Linked DNA regions of Rattus norvegicus. The protein of the gene in region 2 purifies or fractionates together with the protein of the main gene of each other region. This does not show direct contact. Links are inferred from orthologs where the notes say so. Each region holds a gene or a part of one and is shown on either strand. Other genes may lie near its edges.

The links. The genes of interacting proteins can lie anywhere in the genome.
Region 1: the proteins of Polr2j (region 2) and Med26 purify together in Homo sapiens (affinity purification with mass spectrometry; 5 studies listed by BioGRID and IntAct, with this or other methods). This does not show direct contact. The link is inferred for Rattus norvegicus from reciprocal best matches to the Homo sapiens genes POLR2J and MED26.

The regions. Positions count from the first base shown.
Region 1 is NC_086034.1:17,331,004-17,338,505, forward strand, and holds the start of Med26 (mediator of RNA polymerase II transcription subunit 26), read left to right. Parts: upstream 1-2,766; 5' UTR 2,767-3,034; coding exon 3,035-3,106; intron 3,107-3,130; exon of another isoform or gene 3,131-7,502. UniProt on the Homo sapiens protein: Component of the Mediator complex, a coactivator involved in the regulated transcription of nearly all RNA polymerase II-dependent genes.
Region 2 is NC_086030.1:26,177,167-26,183,717, reverse strand, and holds the end of Polr2j (DNA-directed RNA polymerase II subunit RPB11-a), read left to right. Parts: intron 1-1,154; coding exon 1,155-1,244; intron 1,245-2,984; coding exon 2,985-3,159; intron 3,160-3,711; coding exon 3,712-3,747; 3' UTR 3,748-4,069; downstream 4,070-6,551. Other genes in the region: Lrwd1 (leucine-rich repeat and WD repeat-containing protein 1), read right to left, coding at 4,134-4,274, 4,369-4,481, 4,570-4,725, 4,858-4,949. UniProt on the Homo sapiens protein: Core component of RNA polymerase II (Pol II), a DNA-dependent RNA polymerase which synthesizes mRNA precursors and many functional non-coding RNAs using the four ribonucleoside triphosphates as substrates.

The DNA of each region.
Region 1 (7,502 bases), on a different chromosome or scaffold from region 2:
GAATGCTAGCTGCTTGTCCAGAATTCAACTCCCCATACCTATATGACGACCTTGAACTCAAGAAATCCTCCTGAGTGCTACTATTAAAGGCTATTGCTTTTTCTTTTTTCTTTTTTTTTCTTTTTTCTTTTTTTTTCAGAGCTGGGGACCGAACCCAGGGCCTGGCGTTTGCTAGGCAAGCGCTCTACCACTGAGCTAAATCCCCAACCCCGGCTATTGCTAAGCATAGAAATTAACCATGAAGAAAATAAAATGAGAGGCTGGAGAGATGGCTCAGCGGTTAAGAGCACTGTCTGTTCTTCCAGAGGTCCTGAGTTCAATTCCCAGCAACCACATGGTGGCTCACAACCACTTATAATGGGATCTGATGCCCTCTTCTGGTGTGTCTGAAGACAGGGACAGTTTACTTATAGATAATAAATAAATCTTAAAGGGGAGAAAAAGAGAAGTGCCAGGTCTGGTGGGTGGTGCGTGCCTGTAATTCTAGTGCTTGAGGAGGTGGAGGCAGCATGAGGAGCTCAAGGCCAGAGCTGTGAGATGAGGCAGCAGTTAAGAGCACTTGTTGTCCAAGAAGGACCAAGATTCAATCCCCAGTATGTACTCACAACTGTATATAATTCTAGCTCCAGGGACCTGACAACTACTTCTGGCCTCTGTAGACACTAGGTACACATAGGTGCACAGATATACTACAGGCAAAACATTAATATCAAAAAAGAAAAAGTTTCAAGGCTTGCCTAGACTACATATAGTCTCAAAATCTGGGGAGAAATCTAAAATAGCAAAGTCAACAGGTAAATTGAATACTGTCCAAGATGTTTTCCTGATTTGATCCATGCAAAACTACTTGCCAGCTTAATCTATACTTGTTCTGATAAAAGGCATACTCTACCACTGAATAAACAGGATAGCAGGTCTGCAGGGCAGGATGATGCACTTAATTCCAGCTCTTGGGCAGCAGACTCAGGTGGATCTCTGTGAGTTTGAGGCTAGCCTGGTCTCCATAGCAAGTTTCAAACTAGCCAGAACTGAATAGTGAGATCCAGGCCAGCCACAGTGAGATCCTATATAAGGGGAGGAAAAAACCAAAATCAACTATTAAGTAATAAAAGACAGTAAGTTGGCATACACGAAACCCTGCACCAGGGAGACACTGATAGGAACAAAACGTTTGAGACCAGTTCAGGCTTCATAAACCCTGCTGAAAAGCACCGAACTAGGAGCCAATGTTGATGGATGACCTTGTTTATTTTGCTTATCTGGTGAGAAGTGAGTCTTCAAAATGGGCTGCTTTCCAATTTGGACCATGAACTCCAAACACGTGCCAGGGAGAGAGTGTATTTGTTCGTGTTCATTGTACTGGTGTAATGAAAAGTTCTCTGTCACATAAAGAATCAAGAAACCAGCCATGCTTTTATTTTCTGGGTGGATGGGTGGGAGAGAACTAGTCTGGAACTCACTGTGTAGACCAAGCTGGCCTGAACTCCAGAAACCCTCCAGCCTCCCGAGCGTTGGAAAAAAATGCCTGGTTCCCCACCTCCCTCCAGCACTCCCTAGAAGTATAACAAATTAAAATTAACAGGTGTCCCGCAGCTCTCAGGAGTACATGTGATTTTCATTACCTGTTTCCCTTCCGTTTCATGTCTGGATTTTTAAGGTTACGACACAAAACGAAAGTTATTTCTCCCGAAGCCACTGTAATACAGTGCGCTAAACTCGGAGCCCGCCCTCCCACTCCACCTGCCGGAGACCACAGCCCTTATACTTGATATCCTTCGTTTCTTGGTTTGACCTAAAACTCACGGTGACCTTGGCGCTTCCCTTCCTCCTCGGTGAGGCGTTCCTGTTTTCCAGTGGCTGGGGTGCAAAGCAGGGATCGTTCCGTCCGCTCCGAATGCGGAGGGGACGATGCTGAGCGATGGTTCCGCATCCTGTTGTGCAGACAAAGACTGGCCACCTCCAGTTCGCCTCTCAGGAGGGCTACAAGAGCGGTGCTTCAACGCAAGGCCCTGGGTTCGGTCCCCAGCTCCGAAAAAAAGAATTAAAAAAAAAAAAAAAAGAGCGGTGCTTCTTCTTGAGTTCCAGCCCCTCGTGGATGCACAGCCAAGGTGTCAGCGTCGCGCATGCCTTGCAGACTCGAGCCCTCGGCGGAGGCGGCAGCTCCCATACGTGCCCTTAGGTCCCAGCAGCGCGCGGGTCACATGGGGACACTCACTGCCCTGCAGATCCGCGCCTGGGGCCTCTGCAGCGGCGACGGCTGCGCCTAGATTCTCCGAGCTACTCGCCGCACGGGTCTCAACGCAGACAACCGCTGCCCTTCTTAGTGTCCCTATGGCCGCTCCAATCCTCTGATTCCTCAAAGCTAGAGGTCCTCATCCGGTGGAGGGTCTTACCATTCCGCAACCCCAAAGCAGTTAGCAGGAAGAGCCGGTGTTCCAGGACTTGGCATGTGAGCTTCCGTTAGGAAGCCCCGCCCCCTAGTCCGGAGTGGGCGTGACCTTCGGATAGCGTCCGTTGCCACGCCCAACCGTCTCCCAACGGCTCTCTGGATCCGGCCTTAGAACCCGGCGGCAGGACCTGATAAGTGCGCATGCGTGCGCGTGCGCAGAATCAATGGGCGGGGCTCACAAGCCGGCCCCTCCCAAACCCGGCGTCTCCACCCGCCCCCATCTCCCAACCTCCTCAGCGTGGCGCCGACGCTGCGTGCGGCGCGGGTTACCCAGAGTGCTCAGCGCGGGGGCAGCTCACTGGAGTTTGGTTCTCGAGGCGGCGGCGGCGGCGGTAGTGGCGGAGGCTTCTCCGTCGGCTCCTCCTCCTCCTTGCTCGGCGGTGGCGGCGGCGGTCCGGGGCCTGAGCTCCGGTCCCCTCCGCTTTCCTCCGTCCTCCGCCATCTCCCCGAGCGCCTCGACCTCCTCTGGCGCCGCGGGGAACATGCGGCTCCGTTCCCGGAGGCCGGCGAGTGACTGACCTGCGTCCCCCCTCCTCAGCCTGCCCGCCCGCCGGCCCGGCCGCTCCCCCCCGCTTCGCCCAGGCAATGACAGCGGCTCCGGCGTCTCCGCAGCAGATGAGGGACCGGCTGCTACAGGCCATCGACTCCCAGAGCAACGTAAGTGACTGCCGCGCGATCGGGGACCGAGGCCGCATGTGTCGGGACCCTCCCCCTCCGACGCGCCCCTGCCAGGGGTTCTCTCCGGGCGGTGATCTGCCCGCCACGGCCGCTGCCATCTCGGTGTCTCGTTCTCCTGGGTCCGGAGGCCGAAGGCAAGGCGGGTACCCCGGCAGCTGAGGGTACCTGAGGCCGAGGCTTCACGCGGCCTGGACTGAGGGATCGTTCGGAGCTTTGATGAGAGCTGGTTCTCCTCGGTTGTCCCAGCCCGGCTGCCCTTGGTGCTCCCCACCGTGCCCTTCTTGCCTCACCCCAACCCCGGGAACTGAGAACCCCCCGGAAAGGTCTCCCTGCCGGGGGACAAGGTAGAAAGCAACTGGTGTCTCCGCGATGACTCGGGTAGCCCGCGTCTCTGGAGTCTTGGCCTTTACTCCCCCTCGGTCTTCTAGCGAATCCCCTTCTTGGATTCGTAGGGAACCCTAGGCCTGTTCTGCCATCAGTCTGTCTTCCTGTGATGCCTGGAGAGTATCCTCTCTTCTGATAGTGGGTCGCTTCCTAGAAAAGACGACTCTGCAGAGAGTGGGACCCTTCCTGTCACCTCTCTTGGCCTAAATGCTCCATTGCGCGTCTGACCAGTAGCTAAAGCCTGGGATTTTAGTACTGAAATACTGCCGATCACAGTAGATTGTTCTCTTATCCCTATCTTCCGGTCCTCTTTCCATCTCTCTTGCTCCACCTGAGGTGCTTTGGACTCTAGGCTGTCAAGATTTAATTGTAAGGGATCACACTTTCCTCTGTCAAGAGTCCTGTGAGCAGTAGGACGCCTTTTTTCTTCCTGTGTGAGTGTAGACTAATTTTACTTGTTCTTGTATTTTTTCCAAAGGTTTGTTGGCAGTGCAGGGGGCGGGTGTCCTTGTTGCTGTCAGGAGTAGGGCCATGGGAAGATGCACAGGCATTCAGATATGAAGTGTTTGCTGGGAAACCAGGAAGTGGCTTTTGAGATCACTTTTTAATATGCCCAGGATGGAAGAAAAAAAATCATCTTGGACCAGGTAACAGAGGTTTGAACCTTTTTGGGTTCCCTTGCCTATGCTTGGCTAGTTACTTGTAGCAATGTGCTGTATTGTGTGTTCAGAATAATTCACATTGTTTGTGTGGTCTTGGTAGAAATAGAGATGTTCTAGTTTCTATGAGAATCTACTTGCCAGATTCAAAATTATTCTCTTCCTAGTCTTTAGGATCACGTCGATAGTAATTTAGTAAATATTGTAGACTTTTTTTTTTTTTTTGTGGTGGAATAGAGACAGGCTAGATAAAAATCTTCTAGAAAACCTTTCTTTTTTGGGGGGCGGGTTTAAGGGTTTTTTGTTTTGTTTTGTTTTTTGCCAGTGATTGGTAATAGCTGACTAATCACATGATTGATATATTAGGATATTAAAAGGTAAAAATAAGTGATAGGAAAACATAGCCTTGATGGCTTTTGCATCTTTGCTGAAGCTATAGTGTATAGTGTAATCTTTTTGATGTTGTTTTTCGAGAAGGGTTCCTCTTCTGTGTAGGTCTGGCTATCCTAGAACTTGCTCTTTGACCATGCTGCTGGCCTCAGAGATTCTCCTGCCTTTTCCTTCTGAGTGCTGGGATTAAATGCTTGCACTATCACTGCTCCTCTCTTCCACATTGTAAATCTTACACCTGTGTAACTCCTTGCTGAGATCTTCTCAGAGATCCTGACTGCTTGCATGTGAGAGTGTTGGGATCAGCAAGTGCTTTGACAGGTAGTCATGATGTTGTAGATCAGGTGGGGTCCAAGTGCTAGGTAAGGGTCTGACTAAAAGACCCTTTGGGGATAGAAGAAGGAAGATAGAGGGCCCAAATTTTAGTTTGTGTCTTTTTTCTGAGACTGTCTCTGGAAGTCACTATGTATGTAAACCAGGGTGTCCTCACAGAACCTGTCTGCTTTTACCTGCTTTAATCCCAAATGCTGGGATTAAAGGTATGTGCCACCATGCTTGGCCTCCAACTTTAGTTTCTTGAATCTTCCCTTGGTCCTAAGTGCTCATTGGCCTGTGAGTAAGTTGCTTGGAGTGTGTATCTCAAAGGGCTGTAGTGATAGGAGACCTTGTTGTGGCTGGAGTTGAGAACTTATCTCTGAGTGAGGAGGGGAGTGTTTCCCTAGATGCAATGTGTCAGTGACTATCCACAAAAACAACTAGGTATATGTTCTAGGGGCTAGCTTTGCAGAATCTCTTTGTAGAATCAGCCTGGAGCACTGTCCTCCATTTCTTGCTGAGGGGTGCCCGGCCATTTGCATTGTCTCTGTGATTGTTCAGGGCCCAGGTAAGAGCCGCATGTTGGTGCAGGGATCTCTGCTCTTGCTCTGATCTGCCCAGTTATGAGCTCCACCACTTGGTAATTGACACATATTTAGGATGTTCATGGAAAAAATACAAAACGGGGACAGAGTTGAAGAGTCAACACTAAAATTAACCCTCTTTAGAGAGAAGTGACAGAGAATGGTGTCATGTAATGCTTACCTTTATGAGTATGCAATTATGGCTAACAAATTTAGCTATTGGCTTAAAAAAATCAGTGCCAGGCAGCTGACCTAAAGTCCACAGTCTCTGAGGTTAGGAACATCTGACTGACCAGCTCCTTGACCAAGGAAGTCTCAGGAAGATAGCCATCCTTGGTCTGTGTTCAAGCCTCAGCAGCAGCAACCACTGACCTGCCAAGTCTGTACTTCAGGAAGGCCCCTCTCTCCAAAAGACAGCTAACGGACTTCGAGAACTGTGGAGGCCTCACGCACCTCAGTGTGTTTGCTCAGCTCAACATGTTGACAGTCTCTGAACTATACTGTACATCTGTTTGTCTTATGAATAAAGGTGAAGGGTATGACTTACTCTTACGCAAAAATCATAGTGAGTTCCCATTTGGCCAGTAACAGGGTTCTTAGTCCTGTGGTGCCCTTGCTGTTTGAAGAAAGTCTGGGCCATGTCTTCCTGAGAGATCAGCTCCTCATATATGTTCCATGTCTTGCCCCCTTTCCTAGAGAAGAGTCCTTCTTTTCTGAATTTTGTTTTCAACTCTTGAGCCTATGATTCAGGAGTTGCCTCTAAGTCCCCATTTTCTCAAGAAGTCCTGTGCTCCAGTCCTGAAGGCCAGCTGTGGAATGGCCTAATGGGAACATTAGTGACTGAGAAAATCACAGGTGGCTTGAGATATGTCTGTGGGGAATGTGAGTGTGACCTTATGGTTAACATATTTCACTTTTAAAGACAGTGGAAAGACAGACAGAACAGTCTCATAGCTAAATAGTGAAATGGTGGTTCAAGATGGGACCTGCCAAAGGCAGCTTTGTAGCCCTGGTTACAGAGCAGTGGGAGGACAGAGAAGGCTTGGTGAAGGAGGACTCAACCACTGCTGGGCTCTGGAACAGATGTCAAGAGCTGCTGTCTTCCTCTCACTCTTCCAGAAGCAGACACCATGGCCATCATTTCCTACTTGGAATCACTTGCCTCTGCTGGCCGGCAAGTTCCTTGCAGCAAAGGGACTGGGACTGGTGGACAGTCCTGGAAGAGTTCTCTCCAGACCCAGGTTCAGCTCTGGAAGGGCTGCAGTGGCCTACATGAGTTGTTCTGGAAGGATTTCTTCAGGAATTTGTGCAGGGTGGATTGTATGAACTTTTTCAGCTGTCTACACCCCTACTTAATTTGCTAAGGAGAGATGTACACCCCTAATTAATTTTCGGGGTACCCTGACAGTGTGTTTTGTTCTTCCCAGTAGCCCCATAAAGGGAGGTGAGATGAAGCCAGTCTCCATTTCTGACAGCATAATGCTGTGGCTAGGAGAGGACAAGATGCTTTTGTTTCTTAGTGATTTCATGTAAGGTGACTAGCCCAGAGTTAGGTACTTCGAGTTAAGTGACAGCACTTATGACATGGAATAGTATCAGGTTATGGTTGAGAAATGAAGACATGACCTTGGACAAAGCATGAAGCAGGGGTAAGCTGGTGTGAAGAGGGAGGGATGCAGTGTGGCAGTGTGCTCTCATGCTGGCCTTGCTGATGCCCTGGCTCAGAGTACCCTTTGCAGCCAACTTATGTCATTGTCAGGGTGTAGAAGGGTGTCATGAGCTGATGGCATTGCTTGAGTAGGGTAGGCTTGACCTGCTAGTCTTAGGTGATCAGAGCTGGGTGAGAGTTCCTGTTAGCATTGCAGGGGCTCTGTCTTTGTGTCAGTGGATGTGGAACTTTGCCTGTGTCTTGCTTTCTGCTGAAAGGTGATAGCTCTTTTGACACTAACTTAAAATGCCAGTGATCCTGTCAGAAAGGATACAGGAGTTGAGTGTGTTAGCTCTGCTGGGTCCTCCACATTGGTATCCCTGTTCTTTGCTGGG
Region 2 (6,551 bases):
TAGGGTCTGCCCCATGCTAGGTTGGTGCTCTATGCTAAGCTATATTCCAGCTCCACCCCCTACCCCCAACCCCATTTTACAGTTTTTGATCGGTTCGGGAGATGGCTCAGTGGGTAAAACATTTACTGAGGACTTGTGTGTAGATCCCCAGAAGTCGTATAAAAACTGCTGAGTTCGGGGTTGGGGATTTAGCTCAGTGGTAGAGCGCTTACCTAGGAAGCGCAAGGCCCTGGGTTCGGTCCCCAGCTCCGAAAAAAAGAACCAAACAAAAAACAAACAAAAAAAAAAAACTGCTGAGTTCTGCTTCCAGTGTTCCTCCAAGGACATGGGAAGTGGTTACAGGAGGGTCAGCTAGCATGGTTTATCCCCATGGCAAATGAGACCCTAGCCTAAGCAAAGAGAAAAGCCAGGACGACGGCTGAGGTTTTTCTTTATCCTCCTGCCTTAGCCTCCCAGGTTGCTGGATTACTGGTCTTATCTACCAGGCAGGCCAACTTTGTTTGAATGTTGGGAATGGTAGAGCTGAGAGACCCAGAGGCTTATACATGGGAGGAAAATGGTCGGCTATTGAACCATGCCAGAGCTCTTGCAGGGTCCTTAATGGGTGAGCAGACTGAAAACGGCTTCCAAGAGCTAGACCTATAGCTCAGTGGTTGAGGGCTCTGCCTATCATGCTCAAAACCCAAGGTTCAATTCCCAGTAGCACTGGGTCTAGTGGAGCTTGGACTTGCAGAATGATGGATGTGGGCCTGCCTTGATTGTTAGGGGTTAAGTGTCTCCTGACACCCCCTGCCCCCAAGTCAGGGTTCTCTGTGTAGCCCTGGCTGTCCTGGAACTCACTCTGTAGACCAGGCTGGCCTCTGACTCAGAGACCCACCTGCCTCTGCCTCCTAGACGCTGGGATCAAAGGTGGGCACCACCACTGCCAGCTGGTTCTTGTCTTCTTAGTAAGAACTTAGTCAAGAGCTAGTTTAAGGGAACTGTTCGTCAGCGCATACGTTGGGAAGGGCCAGGTACCTTAATTTCTGAGGTAGTGGGAACAGCCCAACTGCAGGTTCAAGAATGTCTGAGCACAAATGGGGACATTGTGATGCTCAGGGCCAGTATCCCAAGGCTGGATGTGGGCTTGAGCTGTTGCCTCTGTCTCTTTCCAGAATCACCATTAACAAGGACACCAAGGTGCCCAACGCTTGCTTGTTCACCATCAACAAAGAAGACCACACTCTGGGGAACATCATTAAATCGTAAGTCTCCCCCCACACTGGGTGAGTACCACACTCTGCCAGTACCACCAGGGCTCTGTAGGCTGAGCACATGTCCTGCAAATGTCTTCCACTCTCCTCTGTGCTCCAGTAAATCAACCTGGCCTCACAGGTCTGTCCACAGAAGGCTGTTCCTGTGTTGGCTTCTGACACAGGGGCTTGTGTAGTGTAGGCTGGCCTCAGACTGTGTAACAGAGGACGACCTGATTGTGGACTCCTTTCCTCCTCGCCACTGCCTTCCAAGTGCTGGGATCCCAGCTGCCTGCTGGCTGGCCTGCGTGTGTGGTGTACAACTGCAGCGAGCCCCAGCAATTGCCTCTTGGTCTTTTGGTTCAGATCAAGTCAGGGAGCTCTAGCAAAGCAGGGTTTCATTTTAGTGGGCATTAAGAGGCAGCATTAATGCCAGCAAGTGTTGGTGTTGTGGAACACACCCTTAGTTCCTGCCTTCGGGAGGCAGAGGCAGGTGGAGCCTATAAAGTTCAAGGCTAGCCTGGTCTACATAGTGAGCTCCAGCACAGCCAAGAGAAACTCTGAAAAAAGATAAAGAGGCCAGCAGAGGCATCTGCGCTGATGGTGGTTGCAACTCTTCTTTAGCCTCCATCTTTTGTCTGAGGCAGGATTTCTCTGTGTAGACCAAGGCTGGACTCAAAGTCAGATCTGCCTGCCTCTGCTCCGAGTGCTGTGTGCAATTAAAGGCGCGCGCCACCGCTGCCGGGCTAGCCTCCAACTTTTTAAAACTTATTTTGTGTTTTTTCCTTATGTGATTGCCAGTGCCCTCTATGGTACTGAATTCCCTCCAACAGCAATTATAGACGGCTCCCATGGGACGTGGGTGCTGGAGACTGAACTTAGATCCTCTGTAAGAGTCGTAAGTTTAAAAAGAGGGAAAAAAAAGCCTTGTTCCTGACTGCTTTGCCTTGTTAACCGGCTATGCTTGTCACCCGTGAAGGCCAGAAGGCATCAGGTCCTCCAGAGCCGGATGCTTGTCAGGTGCCGTGGAGCGAAGGCTCTTCTCTAGCTCAGCCTGCAGCCTAGGAAAGGTCTGTGTATGCGAGTGTCTGAGCTAAAGAGGATGTCGGCAGCCATGAGCCGCTTGCTTAGGCTCTGTACAAGGGCAGTAGGTGCTCCACCGCTGAGCCATCTCTCCAGTCCAGTCTGCCACTCGTGTTTGGGGGTCCTAGGGGGTGGATCACCTGGGACTGGGTGAGAGGTGAGCCACCCACTACGTGGGTCCTGGCAGAGCAGCCAGTACTCTTACCCACTGAGCCATCTCCAGCCCCCACTTCCACAACTCTTCACAAGGTTGGCTGGGCCTGCTTGCTGTACCTAGGGATGGGGCCGTTGGTTTAGGTGAGGCCTGCAGACACGGTCATGGGTTCTCAACTAATGTGGTTCCCAGACAGGGTCCTTCACCCTTGTAGACACAAGGTTCCCATATGGTCTTGGGTCCCTGTAACTTGATTTTCCCCACTCTAGTGCCTGGAGGGACCTCAGGCCTCATGAATGTTAGGCAAGTTACTCTACCATGGCGCTCCATCCCCAGCCGTGTCTTAAGACGGGCTCACTTAGCGGCCTAGGCTGGCCTTGAACTCCCAGTCCTCTGAGCTGCCAGAATGAGGGCCTGCACCACTCACTTATTCCCAACTGCGCGTGGGGGGCCCTTGGTCAGCACGGCTGCCAGGTTTGACCTCCCTCCCTCACTGTGAACTCCGCGTTTCTCAGGCAGCTGTTGAAGGACCCGCAGGTGCTGTTTGCCGGCTACAAAGTCCCTCACCCCTTGGAGCACAAGATCATCATTCGTGTGCAGACCACCCCAGACTACAGCCCCCAGGAGGCTTTCACCAATGCCATCACAGACCTCATCAGTGAGCTCTCCCTCCTGGAGGAGCGATTCCGGGTGAGGAGCAGGGGTTAGGCGGACACTGGTGGGCTGCTGCTGTGGCTGTGCGTTATGCTGTGTCATTTAGTAGTGGAGCTGCCCCAGCACTTAGAATCCCCGTGACATGTATGCTGGGGCGTAGCTTGGTTTCATGTTTACCTAGCACCATCAAGGCCTTGGGTACAATCCCTAGCACCCCGGGGTGGGGTGTGGGGTGGGGGCTGTCCCTGTGCCACTGGCTACTCTGGCTCATAAGGCCCAAGGACTCCAAGCCCTTGTCTAGTAGCCTAGCCATTCTTCCCAGGGTAGGAATGACAGTTTAGTCAGGTGCCCTCAGTGTAAGGTAAGCCACACTTTTTGATGCTTCACCCAATTGGGTGTGTCCCACACGGCTCCATCCCCGGCCCTCCGCAAGCAGATGCCACAGAGCAGGGTGGGTGAAGTCTGCTGAGGTATCTGGAGCCCCTGGTCTGCCTCCTGCTATGTCCTCTGGACCAGAGTCTTGGTGCCCTGCAGTCCCGATACACTAGGGTGATTCCAGCATAGTCACTGCCTTTGTCCTCCATCAAGGTGGCCATCAAGGACAAGCAAGAAGGAATTGAGTAGCAGCTGAAAGAAGCTCAGTGGCTGTAAGGCTGGTGCGTGTATCTGCCCTTCTCCGTCCACCACGATGGCGACAGCCACTCTCAGCTCTCCAGCTGGGCACAGGACACTGTCCCATTCTGTACATAGACTGTTATTTTCCTAATAAAGTACAGCAAAAGAGGGGCTGTGCGGCATGTGGCCTGTCACTGAGACCCAAACCACAGGCTGGGCAGAACCTGGGACTGCTGGGCCTGCCTGAGTTAAGCAAGGTAGGAGCCCCAGTGGAGCCTGTGTGACTGCACTCACTTCCGACAGTAGAATTTAATAAAAAATACTCACTGGTACAAACCCCTCTAGCACTAGGCCCAAGCTAATAAGCCATGTCCTGACACACTGCCTTGGGCGGGCTAGCATGTCTTCCAGATGGACACGATGTTGGAGTCCGTCAGAGCAGTGAGGTAGGTGAAGGCTGCATTGGCCACGACTGTGTTTACCATGGTCTTGGTCACTGGTTGGCCCAATGCTACTGGCTGAGGCCACTTCAGGATCTTAGGAGGGAAAAAGCAAATGCTAGGCTCCTGCCTATCCCACAGCAGCCAAGGGGTAACCAGGGTCTGCAGGGAGCCAACGTCACAGCAGTACCTGTGTTGGGGGCTGCAGAGTTGTTTCAAGTGGAGGTGGCTGCTTCAGTAGGTGTTCAACATCGTAGATCCACACACTGCCTTCCTCGTCTCCACACAGCACGAGGTTTTTGTCTGCCAGGACGAGCGGGAGCCTGAGATGGGGCCGGGCGAGGGCAGGGGCGGGGGCAGGAAGGGAGTGTAACGGGGTGGGCAGGCTCACCAGGACAGGTGCTCAGTGAGAAGTAGGCCAGGCTGGTGGGTGACCACTGCAGCTGGGCCAGGATGACTACAGGCAACACCGACTGGCTGCCCCGGCTTGCCCATGTCTGGCTCCAGCTCCACAGGTAGATGGTGCCCTGTCCACTCCCTTTGGAGGCTGCAGGGAGAGGGGACATGAGCCCAGGCTGACTGTGTGCCCAAGCGGGCTGTCAGTATAACCTCCCTAACAGGCGCCTCAGTACCCTCAGAGCTGGGCCCCAGCCCAGGGGTCCCAGCTACGTTCACTCACCCACCACATCTTCGTTCACAAATGCCAGCCCATCCACTCTTTGTCCCGACACCTCGGAGTCCCCAGAGAAGACGAAATTCACCTCACACACCCTGTAGAAGACACTATCCTTACCCAGGCGCTAACAGCTACCACCTCACCCAAGAAGCTGTGGTCCTGCTTGGGGCTTGGTTTTTGGCCCAGGGAGCTTTAGCTTTGTCTTAAAGGGAGTCACAGGGATGGGAACATAGGGTCAGCAGGGGCTGGACATCCAGGGCTATAGGCCAGGAAGTGCTTTCAGTGCCCCTCCCCCCAGACCAAGGACAGAAGAGCTGTGTGAAGGGCGGGGCTCACTGGTGTTGGTCATTCACTCTACTCAAGCTTTCCCTGCCACAGGTCCCTTCCCTCTATAAACCTTCAAGGCACAAAAGTGGCCAGGCCTCACTGTACAAGAAAAAAAATCCCACCAATCCCCAACACCCAGGAAACACCCATCCCCAACCCTATATAAACCCTGTGTTCTGCCCAGTTCTCTGCTGCTTCTGGCCTCAGCAGAGGCAGCCACCCCCACCCCCTCGAGTTTCCCTCCCAGCTAATCTCTTGTGTGAGGTTTGTGGTGTGGTGTGAATAAGAGATTTGCTGGCAACACCGAGGAGATGGGCATAAAGCAGCAGTAGCTGAGCTCAGGAGAGAGTGGAGGAGAGGAAACTAACCATGGGGAAGATAAAGTAATTTAATGGGTTAAATAAGTTATAAGCTAGTCGGGGAATGAGCCAAAGCTTGAGGCCTAGCCATTTACTAAAGTCTCAGAGTTGTCCTTCCAGGAGGAGAGGTAGAAAAAGGAAAATAATTGTTTTTTACAGAGACAAAAAACAAGAATACGTGACAGCAGCTCAGACCTCAGCAGCCAAAGCAAAAGCCCAGGCTCCCAGGCTCTCTGGCCCCCATAGCCCGAGAACCTCCATGACCCTGCTTCACATGTGATCAGGACGGTCTCTGGGCCCAGGCCTGTCTGAACCCTCATAAACCACCTGGTCCATGTCCAAGGTGCCATCAAGAAGGTTACTGGGGTTTTTACTGCCCCATGTCCCTCATGGTATGAGGACATCAAGCCCAGACCACCCTTCAGCTGACCTCCTTGATCTGGCTATGGATGACTGAAGGGCCCCGAGCTCTCCTGTCCTGACCACCACCATCTTTGACAGGGAGCCTTAGGGGGTCATCACGGTATCAGAGTGATGACCACTCTCCTTCCTTCTGGACACCAAGTTACTTGAATTCTGTCCTTCTTAGGGATAGCTGGCTACTTACACTCTTGGACTCCATTTTGCTCTCTTCTTGACTGCCCCCTACATAAGGCAGCCCTTGGACCCTCATATGAACCCTTGGGGTACCCACTACCAAGCCATTTCGTAGCTCTAACAGGCCTTCCTCCAGGATCCTGCCCTACATTGTTCTGGACTTAACCTGCACCTTTCTCTGTTACTGAAAAGGAGAGAGATTCCCTCAGGGTCCTGGGTCACCAGCTTGGACTTTCCTTTGCACTCACGGCATCCTGATCAAAAAATTAGACCATGCTACCCAAGGATGGGCACCTTGTCTGCAGGCTCCAGCCGCAGCTGAACAACCTGTATGTGAATCAAAGAGGTTAACCTTTGGTTCACCTATCACTGTCTTCTCTCCTCACCACCTGCCCCAGCTCCAGACATACAAGG